Linked DNA regions of Nothobranchius furzeri. The main gene of each other region encodes a partner of the protein of the gene in region 4 in a complex. Links are inferred from orthologs where the notes say so. Each region holds a gene or a part of one and is shown on either strand. Other genes may lie near its edges. The genes, in order: ogt.1, KAT8 regulatory NSL complex subunit 1, kansl2 and phf20a.

What was found.
Region 1: phf20a (region 4) and ogt.1 share a complex: the UniProt entries of both Homo sapiens proteins name them as parts of the NSL complex. The link is inferred for Nothobranchius furzeri from reciprocal best matches to the Homo sapiens genes PHF20 and OGT.
Region 2: phf20a (region 4) and KAT8 regulatory NSL complex subunit 1 share a complex: the UniProt entries of both Homo sapiens proteins name them as parts of the NSL complex. The link is inferred for Nothobranchius furzeri from reciprocal best matches to the Homo sapiens genes PHF20 and KANSL1.
Region 3: phf20a (region 4) and kansl2 share a complex: the UniProt entries of both Homo sapiens proteins name them as parts of the NSL complex. The link is inferred for Nothobranchius furzeri from reciprocal best matches to the Homo sapiens genes PHF20 and KANSL2.

Annotation. Positions count from the first base shown.
Region 1 is NC_091741.1:100,472,175-100,476,250, reverse strand, and holds the start of ogt.1 (UDP-N-acetylglucosamine--peptide N-acetylglucosaminyltransferase 110 kDa subunit), read right to left. Parts: upstream 2,839-4,076; 5' UTR 2,623-2,838; coding exon 2,586-2,622; intron 790-2,585; coding exon 609-789; intron 201-608; coding exon 1-200. UniProt on the Homo sapiens protein: Catalyzes the transfer of a single N-acetylglucosamine from UDP-GlcNAc to a serine or threonine residue in cytoplasmic and nuclear proteins resulting in their modification with a beta-linked N-acetylglucosamine (O-GlcNAc).
Region 2 is NC_091756.1:53,931,812-53,935,375, forward strand, and holds part of KAT8 regulatory NSL complex subunit 1, read right to left. Parts: intron 198-3,564; coding exon 73-197; intron 1-72. UniProt on the Homo sapiens protein: Non-catalytic component of the NSL histone acetyltransferase complex, a multiprotein complex that mediates histone H4 acetylation at 'Lys-5'- and 'Lys-8' (H4K5ac and H4K8ac) at transcription start sites and promotes transcription initiation.
Region 3 is NC_091755.1:57,565,318-57,569,320, forward strand, and holds the start of kansl2 (KAT8 regulatory NSL complex subunit 2), read right to left. Parts: upstream 2,810-4,003; 5' UTR 2,738-2,809; coding exon 2,679-2,737; intron 2,623-2,678; exon of another isoform or gene 2,296-2,622; intron 1,335-2,295; coding exon 1,080-1,334; intron 1-1,079. UniProt on the Homo sapiens protein: Non-catalytic component of the NSL histone acetyltransferase complex, a multiprotein complex that mediates histone H4 acetylation at 'Lys-5'- and 'Lys-8' (H4K5ac and H4K8ac) at transcription start sites and promotes transcription initiation.
Region 4 is NC_091743.1:40,242,641-40,246,815, reverse strand, and holds the start of phf20a (PHD finger protein 20), read right to left. Parts: upstream 2,860-4,175; 5' UTR 2,706-2,859; intron 1,242-2,705; exon of another isoform or gene 1,219-1,241; intron 843-1,218; 5' UTR 819-842; coding exon 736-818; intron 1-735. UniProt on the Homo sapiens protein: Methyllysine-binding protein, component of the MOF histone acetyltransferase protein complex.

The DNA.
Region 1 (4,076 bases), on a different chromosome or scaffold from region 4:
CCATGTCCCCCGCGGCCACCAGTGCTGCTGCCAGGTTTATGTATCCATCAATAAAGTCTGGCTTCAGCCTCAGAGCGTGGCGGTAATGCTCGATGGCCTCCTGCAACTGACCGCGCTCCTTGTACACATTCCCCAGATTGGAGTAGGCCTCAGCAAGCATTGGGTTCTGCTTGATGGCCAAGGTGCTGAAGTGAGCGGACCTGCAGGGCAGAAACAGGAGCAAACCGTAAAAACCCAGGAGCCCAGAGGCAACAGTTACTATCATTTACTGCTAGAGGCGACAGAAACGTGTAGAAAGGTTGAAGGAAGAGAATAAGTGCAATATTATTACATTTATAACAAAACATCAAACTTAAAACTTCCAATTTATAGTTTAACCCTCCGTTTGGGAATTAAGGATGAAGCAACACTTAAACCACAGCACCCGAAGAACAAAGCCATGTTGGACTTTGGGGGGGGGGACCTCATTAAACTAAATTTCCCACAGAGTTCAGATGTTTAACTTGATCTCCCAGCTCAGATGAGTGCGACCTCAAACCCAGAAGCCCAATACAGTTCTGCCATCTCCACACCACATTCTGCTTAAAGCCTTTCCCATTACACCTCACCTGTCAAGTCTTCGACACTGGAAGTGAATGGAAGACAGAAGCAAAAGCACGCCTGTGTTATCAGGCTCCTGCCTCCACAGCTGCATGCAGTGACGCTCAGCTGCCTCAAAATCCCCTGACTGGTACTCGCGGTGCGCCAGCTCCGCCAACCCTTGGAAGGAAAGCATACGTTTTGTTGGTTCTGGAGCACCAACATGAGCCAAGGAGGGGGGGGAAAACGACATGTTAGAGGTGATGGAATAAATGAAAGACAAATGAAAAACAAACAGATGGCAAAGCTTTCAATAAAGAACAATTTTAACTCAACAGAAAATGGAGCAACAAACAAAATCAAAGGGTCACAAAATCAAAGGTGATATAATAGAAAATGTTTGGAAACCATCATTTTTAAAACATTGTTGTATTCGATAACATTATAATTCAAATCTTAAGAGTGATTTGTGAGTTGAATAGCTGTAATGAACTGCTCCTTTATGAAACTTTGTCTTTTATTTTAAAATTACTGTCGGCAAAATAAAACGTAATGCTGACTGAATCAATTTAGTGTTGAATTAATCAAATAATTTCATTTTAATCTGTTTTATTGTGCTTAGAGATTATTAAGCACAAAAATAACAATCCAATATTAATGCAAATATATTTTATCACTCACAGAACAAAAAAGAAAATTGATAAGATGAATAAACAAGCGGGTAAGGGAATGACACAGAGGGAGATGTTCTAGAATCCTGTTGGCATTCTGGAGTCCAGGCATTACAAAGGATCTTCATCACATATGCATTACCATTATTAACCATATTTGCTTAGAGGAAATAGGGAGTGGCAGAGAACATGTGGAGGAAAATCACATGATTACATTTTAAAAAGACAGAGATCATTTTTGGAAAAGTTCCTCCACCCAAACAAACTTAGATCAATGCCTTTAGAGTCCAGAAATCAAACGAAAGATTGTTGTAACTCAGGTTTCTAAGGAAAGGTGTGGCCAAATGTATTTACAAAGACATTTCAACACTGCTCATCTGATCTGGCCAAGCCAGACTTTTAACATGTTTTTTTAAATTACATCTGAATATGTCTCTAATTTAAATGATGCTGGTCAAAAACAATCATGTTAGAACTTGCCAGTAGCAGTCAGCTGATAAAACTTTACATGAAACCAACTAACACACGTATTTAATAACTATTTAGTTTTGCTTCAAAGACCATACTTTTTGTTCTCACAGTTCTTGCCCTGGAGATTATTTCCTGTGGCAAAGGTGGTTTAATAAAGAAATACTTTTTTTCAGTTGTCCAAACGCATATCTAATTTACACTGCAATCAGATCTTACAATTCCACATCACCTAAATAAAAACCCCATGGAGACCAATATACATAAAAAGTTAATTGTATTATAGCCAGAATACCAGCAGCAGAAATCGTCATGGTTTAGTTTCCTTCCCTTCACAGTTATGTAACCACGCTCCTAAACGTGAGAAAAGGACTGATTTATTTCATACAACGTCCCACTCATTATTACTCAGCTGGAATGCAGTTTTGGGAGGAAACCTCAGCTTTCTCTGCGGCATCGGTGCGGTCTGCACGGACTGGGTCAGCAGGACTCTCCGCCATGCCGGATCGGTTTCTTTAAAAAATAACTTGACGCTAATATAAAACACAGTACCCCAACCTCATCGCAGTATCCTATTTACACGCTATCAAAATAAAATAAATGTACACGTAATCCGTGTAATATGCAGTTTAGCACCACGTTAAGGGGCAATGACACGCGCAGACCCGGCGCATTTGGTTTAATTGTGCGACACTTTCCTATACAAACAGCTGTTACTTAGTGTAGGCCTAAAGCCTTCGTATAACATGTGTAACCATGTTCATTTTTAATTATGATCATTTTTACAGTTAATAATCGCTTCCTCGCGTTAGCAGGAAATGCTATTTTACAAGCTAGCTCCATTAGTTAGCAATATAAGCAGCCTACCTGTGCTGTCGGCCACATTTCCAACTGAGCTCGCCATCTCCTCGGTCTTCGTGTCTTGTGCGGTGGTCGTCAACGTGTCTTCTGAAAAATAACAGCCCCAGGAAAAAAACGGTTCTGTCTCGTATTCTCGGTGCTTGAAAGTTAGCCCGCTGCCCGTCGAGTTAGCAATGCTAGCTTACTTAGCTTTCTAAAAATCCGATTAAAACACCTTCGCAGTGTTTTTTGTTTATTAGAAGATTAACTAACCGGTCAAATCACGCTGTTGCTATAACTAAATATCACAGAAATTCTATTGTTCACTGTAAGAGTCTACCTGGCTGTCTTCCTGCTCCCAACAAAGCAGCGGAACATGAAATGGCGAAATGAGGGGAACTCGTTTTTCATGAGAGAGAAACTAGGTCCCTCTGGCAGTTTTTTGATTAAATATGCGTACAGTTTTAATATGCGTATTTCATTACGAAATAGTGCGGAAACCCCAAAATTTCAACTATGTGCCATACATTTAGCAATACAAATGTGGGTATCAATACTATCTAGCGGAGGGATCTCACTGCGCAGTGAGACAAAGGACGAATGCTGTGAGCTGAGCCGGTGCACGACTAGAACATGGCGTTCAGGCTGCTAATTTATTTTTCACTGTTTGCTTAATGAAACCGGGATCCACGCGGTGTTCATCATCACATCTCAGCAGAGCAGAAGACATCTCATGCTAATGTGTTAACCCTTTTTCATTGGATCAACACATTTTCCACACCAAAGAAGTCATTCAAGTAGAACTCAATTGTTTTTGGGTAACCAAACAGAAATCACCTTTTCCTAACAATTCGAAACTCCATACATCAGTAAGAAGTCCATGAAGCACCCATTTGACACTCGTTTACACAAATTAAATGAAATCACATTAGCTATCATCCGGCAGGCCTGTAGGTGCCAACATGGATGGAGAAAGTCTATAGGAGGATCTTTGTTGGCAAGAAAACACACAATATGGCCTGCTGTGACAGCAGTGCTGTCAATACACGACGTACACTTCCATTAGAGCTTGTGGGCAAAATCTTCAATATGTAAACATTTTTAACGTCTAAAGACAGGAGGAGGTTTAGAGAGAAGCAATTGTTTTAAGTGTTTAAAGCTCTTGCTTGAAAGACCATTAAAAGATCTGACCACTTTTTGATCTCAGTTCTTGCCCAGGAGATTCTTTTCTGTGGCAAAGGTGGTTTAAAGAAACCTGTAAACTCTGTATGTCTTGGATGGGAGCTCTTTGTCCACTAATGTTCACACTCTGAATCATTCCAAAAAAGGCCATTTTTCTCCTTTACCGCTATCAGATTTTACGTCATTGCTTCCAGTGAACAAAATATTCATGAAACATGCAAGACAAAACACTCTAAATACAACGAACAGACACACGAAAACAGCAGCAAGCTCAAAAAACGGTCTAGAATCAGCTGTGGTTGACCCCATTTACCCAACACAAATCAGCGGTGTCCA
Region 2 (3,564 bases), on a different chromosome or scaffold from region 4:
CTAAAGGAACAGAAAACAGTCAGCCCCAGAACTCCCATCAGAGCCAGAACCACACTTGGACGCAGTCTCTACCTGGGTGTGAGGATCTCTTTGTACTGGAGCTTCTCCACCCGGGTGGTGGCTGCCACCGACATGGGTATCACGATGTTGTTTATGTCAAACGAGCTTTCACCTCGCCGCCGCTTGATGGGCTGCTGCTGGAAGACCAATCAGAACACACAAATCAGACCAGTGCTGAAGCGGGTCAACACCCACTTGATCTTAAGGCTGATTCATGCTTCTCCGTCAGCTCCGCAAGGGACAGACACGCACGGACAGACAGAAGCGTTTTGCTCTCATACTTCTCCGTCTCCTGGAGAGTGTTGCAAAGCAATTCCCCGCCAGGACAACAGAGGGCGTAGCGCTGTTCTGTGGTATCCTGTCAGGTATCGGTCCAAGATCGTGTGTTTATATTGTGTTTTTTGTACATAAGAGACTTTTTAACACGGACAAATTTGTCTCTCATTCTCCTTCACCCCTTCATGCGCTCCCCACCTCTAAACCCACGTTTCCTGTCATTTCCGTCCACAAATTAAACGCTTGCTGCGCATCTTTTCACTCCTCCAGCTACGGGGGAATTAAACGTTTATAGTTTTTTTCGCGAGGTATTCTTCAAGCTTCTCCGTGTCTGCCGCTAGTTATTCTCGGCTCTTTTTATGTTTTTGAGGGCGCAATGGCGGCGGTGTAGACGACAGCGATGCCCTGACCAATCACAAGCGTGCGTTCTCCATCTCGACGGACGGATGTTTAGAAAAGTGGGCTCGACTCCGTACGTACTTGCGTGCCTGCCAGGGCCCTACGCAAGGACGGATAATGGCGTTGCGTGTCTCCACACTGACGCAGACGGAGACGCATAAATCAGCCCTAAAACTCCAGAGCCTGGTTTTTGTTACTGTTCATAAATAACCCCAAATACATGTTTATGAAATCAGACATTTTGTTTAATAAAACTTTTTGAAAATTAAACACTACATGTTTTATTCCAGTAAGTAAAGGACACTTAGATGCCCTCCATCTGATTGATCATAAACTCACTTCCTGTTTTCAGGCAGAAGTAGATTTGTTCCTTCAAAGTAAAACTCCTGTGACCATCGACAGTTCCAAGAACACGGGTTGTGTTTCATCTGAAGCTGATTGGATCAGAACCACATCTGATTGTGACATCACACAGAGCCAGCTAGACCAGGTTCATGCGGATGATTTTGGGTTTCCAGGGAAAAACCTCAGCCTCATGTTAAAACAGGGTTGTTACACTTTTCCCAGTGACAAATTCAAGCGTCTCCAAGGTTAATTTTCAGACTTCTTAAGCATCATACGTTAAAGACAAGACAATACACAAGAACTCAAGAGGAGAGTTTCACCTCACCTCACATTAACAGTGACGATCTTATCCAATCACAGGATTGGACATTGGCCCTGATCACATTATTTTAAATTGGAAGCAGGTGAAAGAGATCAGATATAACACTATAAAGCAACAAGGAAGACCTTTTAAATTCATCCTCAGAAAGAATTTCAAACATAAGGATGTCTTAGTTTTAACCATCTGCTTTTAGTTCTAGTCTGCCACCCTGAAACCAAACACCCAGCTCTCCCAGTTCACAGCAGCAACTCAAACAAAAACACACAACTAGCTAACACAGAGAGAGAAATTGCCTATGAACAGCTAAAACACAACCAGGAAAGCAGTACATTATTCACGCTGAATGACTGTGGTTGCAAATAGTTTGTGCAGCCTCCTGGAGCCGATGAAGGAGCTGCTTTCTCATCACTTTTTTCACATCCAGCACTACAGGTGCAGGGAAGAGCGAGCCTGCCAGCCGCAACATGCGTGTATCCTGGTGATGTTTATCGCACAACACAGCCACACACTTTTTAAACTATTTTAATTCTAAGCAATGAAGCTATAATCAAACATGTTAGTAATATTAACACATTTTTTATCAATGGTCTTCCTGACGAGACAAGAGAGACAGACTAGGTTGAATTATATTGTCCCTGTGTATCATAGGTATTACAAGTAGGTGTTGCTGCTGAATAAATGATAAAATGGCTTGCCACAGTAGGTCTGGTCTGCTTTTGCAACCAAACACAGTACATGGAAGCTTCGGTTCACAAACAGACGCGATGAATGACCAAGTGCTTTATTAAATGACTGGTGTTTCTATGTTTAGTGAAACAAATCTGAACACGTTACATTTAGTTCTACTGTTTACTTCAACAAGATGCAGCCGAAACTTTTTTTTGTTGGTATTTTATTAGTTCACGAACTCGGAGATGTTTTGTAAACAAAATTAGTGGCCGAGAAAGCAGCCTACATCTGATGTGAACCGCAGCATTGGGAGGAGTGGGGCGTTGCAGCTTATAACAGGGAAAGTACCAAAACTTAGCAGCGAAAAAAATCTTTCCTACTGTTGTTTTGGGTACCCTGCTACAGTCCTGATTGCATAACTAAGCATCACATCCCGCTGGATCCTAGAACCAAAGCACACGCGCGTGACAAGCAAATATGTTTCATAGTTAAAGTGGGTCTGCTACAAAGCGAAGCCAGAAGACACCGCTGGAGTCTGCTGCTCACACACCGGTGTTACAGAAAAGAGCCGACCCCCATGGAGCAGCAGCAGCAGCATTTATTAAAGGTAAAATGATAACTCTAGTTTTCAGTATTTACAAATTTTGTTTTTTAATCAAACTAAATTGATCACAAATATAAAACTGAAGTTTGTTTTTCAAACATTTTCAAATACTTAATACAGAAATCAAGCACTTTCCATACCTTGAAAACATGTTATTAAAATAAAAGCATTGTCAAGGATTTCAAGCACCGTAACGAACCCTTTAAAAGCATTATAACCTACAAAGCTAAGGGTAGCAGTCGGTCAATTGCAGTTTTCTGGATACGAGCACCCACCAACCTCCGTTAGCTTTGGTTAGCTCGTAGCCACCTCGGCTCAGAGTTTGATGGGAGTCAATTACCTGCCCTCCACCCTCACAGCTCTATTTTTGTATTTTCCTGGAGTGACAAGACGTATGACGTGGCCAAGATGGAGGTGGTGGATACTGCCCACTGGACTTCCAATTCACTTCTTTTTTTTTTTTTTATTCAAGTTTGTATTGAACTTTCTTTTAGGGGCTGGTACATAGCAGTCTCAATAGATACTAAACATGGAGGTACTAAATATACAGATATAACAGTTGATTTTGGATACAGGTCCCAATCATAGAACTCTTGCAGACACGTAATGTCTGAGTAACAGCAGTCACATAACGTGCTTGATTTCACCCAAGGCCTTTGTCTTTATAAAGTTCCAGAATCCATCCCAGTTCCCTCTCTGTTGTCTTCACTCACTACAACTACTACTGAGCATACATTCACATGATGCAGATTCGGCCATTGCACAGACCCATTCCTTAACCTCTGGAGATTCTACTGCTTTCCAGTGTCTTAAAATGACTCCACAGGCTGTTGTTAATCCCACTGAGATGATTGAAAAATTACACTTATTTACATTAGGCAACTGAGAT
Region 3 (4,003 bases), on a different chromosome or scaffold from region 4:
TTCATGGCTGTTTTCACAACACTTAACGTCCGGTGGAAAAAAGTCTAAAGGCTGAAGCCCCCCCCCCCACCCCCACCCGGCTCATGGGTCTTCCTAACAAAGACAAATTAATGCTATTTTCTAATCCGCTTTGCCTTACGTCCTGACTCACACATATATTGTACTTCAATTTAAACGAGAAAAAAAAGTGTTTCAACGATGTCTTTTGCGTACTTTGATATTAGCTTGTAAACATTTGTAATTAAAATGACTACAAATTACAAGTCACATATATGACACTGCACAATCTCTTCTCCCCAGCGTAGCTGCTACTTATCACATGTGGTTTTCTCCACTTTTAATACTACTCAGGTATTTGCCGGCTGGTGTCGAATTACAAAAACGGGCACCGCAGAGTTTATCAACAGACTTGGCAACGCCACGAGCTCTGATTATAAACAACGACTACGCTCCTCTTTGAGCATTGTGAAAGGAGAATAACCAATAACCCTTTAGCCTGCTGAGAAGCAGATCTGTTTCAATGTAGCCTTCCTTTCATTATGATTGAGACATTAGGTGTTTTTGTGATAATTTCATTGTAAAATGTTCATATAATGTACTATTAAACATTAATTCAATATCATAACAAGAAACCTTTCAGTGCATTGAAATTTTCTTACATTCCTAGTGATGATGCTAGGGTACATAACAAAACCATACCGAGACCTGCTACAGGAGGTGGTCGCCGAGTGGTTCCAAATAAACTCACTTATTTTTGGACAGATGCCAAGATTTATTATCTCTGAATCATAAAAACACATTCAAAGGGTTCAAAAATAGCTCATGATCACAACACACAAGCTTCTTCCTGTGTTTACGTTTGTAGCCACTCCCCAGACTATCTGACTACTCAGAAGACTGAACAGTCTCACTTGGTTTGTAGTGAGGTCTCATGTTTATTTTTTTCTGTACAAAAATAAACTGAAGCGCAGAAAAACCCCTGTAATGTAACAAAATCACAAAGAAATTTGGACCAAAGGAACCAAACTGCAGGTGTGAAAACAGCCTTAAAGTTGATGAATGTGTGAACTTCTGCCTACCCATCTTTCCTCTCTGCCTTTGGAGCTGCATTGGGGCAGCGCTTGCCGTTCTTGACAGAGACATAGCTGCACTGCTTGTATGGCGCATTCTTGTCTTCAAGAATGTGTTTAATACAGAACTCCAAACCTTCCAGACGTGGCTGAGAACACGGTCGTAGGGTGAAGGAACAGGCCTGGGGCTCCTGTGGACGAGTCTGGGCCACCCGGTTACGACTCGAAGGCAAGACGTGGATTCGTATCCTGTTCATTTCAAGCCTGAAAAGTATCCACAAAATCATTAACATGGATTTTTATATAAATACTTTAGGAGAAAATGGTTTAAGTAGACTCGGTCAAGGTAGAGTATTCCTTAGTTCAGGGACTCCAACCCTGGTCTTCAGGGGCACCATCCTACAGGTTTTATCTGTTTCTCTGCTCCAACACACCTAATTCAATAGATGAATTACCTGTTCAGCAGGTCATCAAGCCTATTGACCACCCACTGAATAAAAGCTGGTGTGTTGAAGTAGAGAAACCTCTAAAACGTGCCAGAAAGGGTCCCACAAGGACCAGGGTTGTACCCTACTGCTCCAGAAAGTTGAAGCAGCAAGTCAGCGAACACGTTCATGCAAAATGGTAAACAATCATTTGGTTCAAAATAAAATACTATATGTACATTTTTACTATTAAGCTGATATTTTTAGAGACAATTTATAATCAGTGGTGAATATTGATCATTTTCACACTGCCATTTTTCTATTGCTTGTAGAAAAAGGAACAGTCTAAATGTTGTCTTTTTATATTTAATTAAAAAATATGTGGACATCTTTTCTTTACAAGCCAAAAACATCACCGTATGTATTCTTCGATGACAATTTCAGATACATCCTTTGCAGACATGGTGTGAGGACATTTCAAGAGCATTTCTAAGGGAACATCGATGTTCATTATTCTATCTGTAATCTTCTAATAGATTATATTTATCTATGTTGGTCCACTTCTATTTCCACAAGGCCGCACGATATTGGGAAATTATGCCATAATATTGTTGACAGTAACAGTAGTGATACACCCACTGACTAATACGCGGATTGTTTCTGTGATTCTTTTGAAAACCTCTGCAAAACTGACAGTCTGTGACAAAATACAGTTTTTAAATCCCAAGTCCCTAACGCAAACAAATCTACAGCTACATTAGCTAAAGCTGGTAAACAACATAAAACAGTTTCATACTTACAGTAAACAAACACACGCGGCAATAGTTTCTCCACACTACTAACAATTTCTCTAATTTTGGACCAGACAAGAAGTATCGAGGTTCTACACAGAGCAGAAAACCGTCGCTGGTCTACCCAAACGAAAGGCCACGCTAACGACGAAAAGGACTTCAAAACATGTGGAAATAGGAGACTACAACGAGCTTAAACCCGCCTCTTCACTGCGTCACTCCAAATCCTGCAGTTAATGGGCCGCCATTTTTGTGTAGCTAGTGACAACGGCAGCTGACTGACAACTGGAATAATTCGAAGCGAGGGAATTAGCTTTTCTGATAGATGGCAACAGTCAGACATTCATCTTAGTGTTATTGAAATAATTTGACATTAAGATGTAAAACAATACCCGTTGTGTGAAGTAAAACTGCTCGCCCCTCTCGCGTCTGCTGTCCTCACAATAGACATGTAGCACAATGCTAACCTTCGTGCAGTTTCCTCAGCATGTCGGCAGCCCCGCCCACTCTAAGCTCTCATTGGTCAGGATGGGAGACACCCAGACGGTTTATTGGTTAATCCAACTGTCACTCATTTCGGAGGCAAACTTGTTGAGACGACACTGACGGGTGATTGTAAAACTTAAAACCAAAAATGTATTTAAAATATTTATTGACTTTTAGAATAAAGCAACCACATATCAAAAAGAACAGTGTTTACATATAACTTAATGAAAAAAACTTTTATTTCCAGACCTGAGTGTCAATAAAAACACCAAGACAAGAAGAAACATGAAACTTAAGACTATTGAAAATGTGATTTTTGCATTGTTAGGTTGCATGAGTGTCTTCTGTTTGTATATATATATATATATATATATATATATATATATATAGGTTTTTATAATAAAATGTGTTCCACGATTTTCCCCATAGCATGTTAATACTCAAGTTCAACGCTTTCTCCAAACCACATAGCTCATGTTTTAAAAAATGCATTTGAAATTCACTTTCCTTATTTACCCACTGTACAAATTAACACTTTGTCAATTACATTGCAGTCAAACCCACAAAGATAAATATTCAGTGCATTTAACCAATTCCCAGTTACAACAAAAAATTGAAGTAAAACATCTGCTGCTTGAGCAAAGAAATATTTCTTTTCCAGCATGTATTTCAAGGGAACAAAAATGTAGTTGCATGGCTGATTTGTTCTACTGCATTGCTGTAAACTGCCTTAACCACTTTATATGACAACATAAAAATAAGGTCAAAGCAGTAATACTACACAACCAAACCCATATAAAGCCCAATATGGATGAAATGTCCAGATGACAGCCGAATCTCCTACCAACAAATATAAAACCAAGCATCAAATTTAAACAATCACTAAGTGACTTCATGCTCAAGAACCTGTACCGGAGATATACCGACAGCCAGCATGCCATCTAGGATTTTACTAATTTACAGAACACATGCGAATTTAAGAACAGTGTGAAGATGGGTTACGAACAACCTAGTATATAAAAATAGAAGAAAATAAAAACATCAGAACATGAGACCAGAGAAGTTGTGTACCACCGGCTTTGACATTCCAGAAACCACATGATTATTTTTGATACTGTATTATTGTGCTGTTGCATACTGAACATTCATAGGTGATCGGAAAGCATAATAGATGTTTTTGACCCAGCTGTTTACAAACGAGCACTGTTGGGCAATCAGGAAAAAAATAAAA
Region 4 (4,175 bases):
TTTGTTTCGTTGACATCTTTACTCGTTTATGAAGACGGACGAGACAGAAAATAAGAGCAGTAGTAAGCAGCACCGTAGAGCTACGTGTGACAACTGCACCAGTGTTCCCACAGCTCAGACTGATGGTGGATGGCAGCAGAACCAGGATGCACTTAATTCGCTGGTTAATTCAGATTTAAATGAGTTCACTTGTAAATACCTAACAGGAATAAAGATGTGGAGCTACAGGTTCTGGTCCAAATGGCCCAGCCCTAAATGAGACGATAATAACCTTATATGATAAAAAAGGAGCCAAAGAGCTTTAGAGAGAATCCATTATTCATTCACTCTGATGGTGGTGAGCTACATCTATCTCTCTCTCTCACACACACACACACACACACACACACACACACACACACACACACACACACACACACACACACACACACACACACACACACACACACACACACAAAGTGACAGGAAAGGCTGGGATTGAACCGCCAACCCTCAGATGACTGGATGATGCGCCAGTATTAGTGGGATTAATATCTAATGTGTGAACTTGCATTTACAAAAGGAAGTTGTGTGTGTGTGTGTGTGTGTGTGTAATGTAAACATTCTTTTATGATTTACATGAAACCAAATAAATCATCCATGCTCTGCTGAACCCGAACTCTTCAGACCTTCATTAAACGTGTGATGAATGTATGTAAATGAGGAATGAGGGGGATGAACGAGGCCATGACTCACCAGTTTTTGAGGCTGTCTCTGGCCTCAAGCTGAGCTCCCACCTCAAATGTTATCCCTCTTCTGTTAGGGGGCGTCTTAGTCATACTGCCCACATCAAGGCTCCCTTCCTGTACACACACACACACACACACACACACACACACACACACACACACACACACACACACACACACACACACACACACACACACACACACACACACACACAACAGTTAACACACTATTAAAGAACGAGGCTCGTTGGTAAACCCCAACCCCCATAGTAATGTGTGTCTAACAGCGCACACAAACACACACACACACACACACACCCTCAAGTCAGTCCACTCATCATGAGGTAGGTTTGACACTAAGGTCGTGAGATGCCTTCCTGTACACAAGCACAGCAATAATACTAGCCAGGCTGTGGGGATGTATTTTATCTGGAAACACACACACACACACACACACACACACACACACACACACACACAGGTGTAGTACCGAGGTGAGCCAGGCCTCTGAAATGGTGGTGAGTATGTGGAGAAGACCGGGTGGTCAAATATTCAGATGAGCAGATGCAACAGGAATGACGTCACATGCAGATTCAGTGCCCCTCCTCATCTGGAGGTCAGAGGACCAAACACCTGAAGCTGTCGGTTCTGAGCACTCACCTAACCAGGTCCAGGTCGACTCACCTAACCGGGTCCACTCATCTAACCGAGTCCAGCTAGGTCCACTCACCTAACCAGATTCACTAACCAGGTCCACTCACCTAACCAGGGTCACTCATCTAACTGGTCCAGGTCCACTCACCTAACCGAGTCCAGCTAGGTCCACTCACCTAACCAGATTCACTAACCAGGTCCACTCACCTAACCAGGGTCACTCATCTAACTGGTCCAGGTCCACTCACCTAACAGGGGCCGGGCTCACATTCAGAGCCGCCCGGCTCGGCCCGCCATCATGGAGGTGTATGAATGCAACGCACTGCAGCCTACAAACCGGATGTGTCTACGCGCCGCTCAGCCCACGTGTTTTTCTGCTTAGTCCGTTTCACGCAGACACAATAGGAGACAAAAGGCTTATCATCTCCCGCCTGTTGCAGCTAGAATAAAACCACCATTATATCTGGACACAATTCCACTCCATCAAATACAGGATTTTTACCTTAATCTAAGGACTTTTAATGGCGGTCAGGAAGCCGAACATGACAGCCCAGACGAGGAGGAGCAACCAGCGTTAATTATGTCAAAATCAATGTTCACGTTGAAGAAAGGAGGTCATATGCACGTTTTTAGTACAGATTATTGCATTTTCAACCGAATGTTAAAAAGAAATCGGGGTTACGAGCCGCATACGGGCTGTTTTTGTTAGTAGGTTCAAAACATGAACGCACGCGAGTGTGATTTTAACCGGAAACACAAAATGAAACCGTATCCTAAAAGATTTCCAGCCGATCGGTTGTTTATAACTTTCTTCTCTGACACTTTATTGTCTGGTGTTTTATAACTGTAGGGTGTAGCGCGAGAAGCTGAGCCCTACGTCAGTGCTTTACACACATGTGATTGGCCGAGTCCGACAAAAAAGTAGGCGTGACCTCATGCCTGATTGGACGCATGAAGCCGTCACTCACAGGGAAGCTCTGGCCTCGCGCTGGGCCTAACCTCCGTACTTTTCCTACCGTGAACGAGCGGCGTGGAAACGGAGCGCGGCAAAGTTGTTCAGCAGAGAAACGCAACAAACACGCAGAGTCACCCGGTAAAAAGACCCGCATCCGTAATTATAGAAACACACGAGTCAGCGAAGACCGAGCAGAGACACGCTCCCGGGGAGCCTGTTATTACCCACTTGGTCGCGTTTGTTTTGAACTCTGAAAGCCGACATGCGGCATCAAACCGTGGATGAAGATGATGCAGCCGCCAGGCAGGCCCGCTCATGGCGCAGCAAACACATAAAAGCGCGGTCTGAAGATGACTCGGCGTGCCTACCTGTTTCCCAGTCTCTCGTTAGCAGGCTGGTTGGGTAAAAAATGTGCAGCGTAATCCTTCAAATGCGCAGATCCCGCCGCCTCCGCCTGTCTGCTCCAGACCACGCAGTTGAATTTCTCTGTTGTTCATCGGTGTTGTGCTGAGAAGTGCGTGCTTGTCGAGATTCTCGTACCTTCTCGCGGGAACGCGCACTCCAAAGAAACGAATAGAAATAAACGCAAACCTCTTGTTCGTGGTAAATAAGGGTGACATCGTGCTTTCTACGTCATAACTAGTGAGTTGGACTTCATCAGCACGTGTCATGTATAAACATCAGCTTAAAACAGATGATGCGTGTTCTGCTCTCCCCACCTATTCCACCTCCCTCAGGATCCACTCACTTCTTTCTTATTCACTCTCTCTCTTTCTTTCATTTTTTATCACAATTGCCTATTTTTGCTCATTTTAAATATATTTTTAATAATTTTCGATTTTTTAAAAATATTTTTACATTTTTTGTTTTTGTGAAGCGCCTCGTGATTTTTTTCTTGAGAGGCGCTATAGAAATAATATTTTCTTCGTCTGGTTACTCGGATTATTGCAGATTATTATTTACAGAGAAGATAATCCATGTCGCTAAAACAAAGATGCATACGTTAAACATTTTCATCATCAAATTATTCTAAATGTATCTGAACTAAGTAACGGCTGCATCTAATTCCCGTAAATAAACATCTGTAAACATCTTCCATGTCTACCTTTGAACTCTGTTTATGCGCGTTCCCGCGACGGAACATGCAGATCTTTGCGGGTGGGCTGTTTTAGCCTCACCGCGGGGACCGTAAAACTACAGTGCGCATGCGCGTCCAACGAACAATTTAAGCGTTCCAATTGGAGGAGGGATTTACGTTTTATGTGTTTTACTGCTAGTTTATGGTTAAAAATGAAGTGAATTAAAATAAGGTTGGATCTTTTTTTTTTTTATCTCGGTGAGACATTTTCATCAGCCTCCTAACTTGTAGAGATGGGAAACAGTTACAACTTTCCTTTATTCAGAACAAACCGCCTTATTTAAAGAGCTGAGTCTCCTCAGTCCTGAGTCCAGCTTCTAGAAGATGGACATTTGGTTCTTGTAGACTGGGGTAGAAGACTCCTTCCCTGAGGGCTAAAACAACTAAAACATGCTATTCAGCATGTTTTGTTTCCCTGCTTCAACACACCTGATTTCATTCAGCAGGTGTCTTAATAGACTTTAGCAGAGCCAAATGAGCTGCTGAACAAGTGAATCAAGTGTGTTGGAGCAGGGAAACAACTAAAACGTGCTGGAAACCGACCCTTGGGGAAGGGAACCCTGTTGTAGGTGTTTCCACCGTCATGCAACTACAGGAAGAATGAGTTGAGCGTGGCATAAGGTCAGGATATTTCAGACCAAAGTGACCATTACATTTTATTACATTGACTTAATGCTACACTGTCAGCCATTTTTAGTTA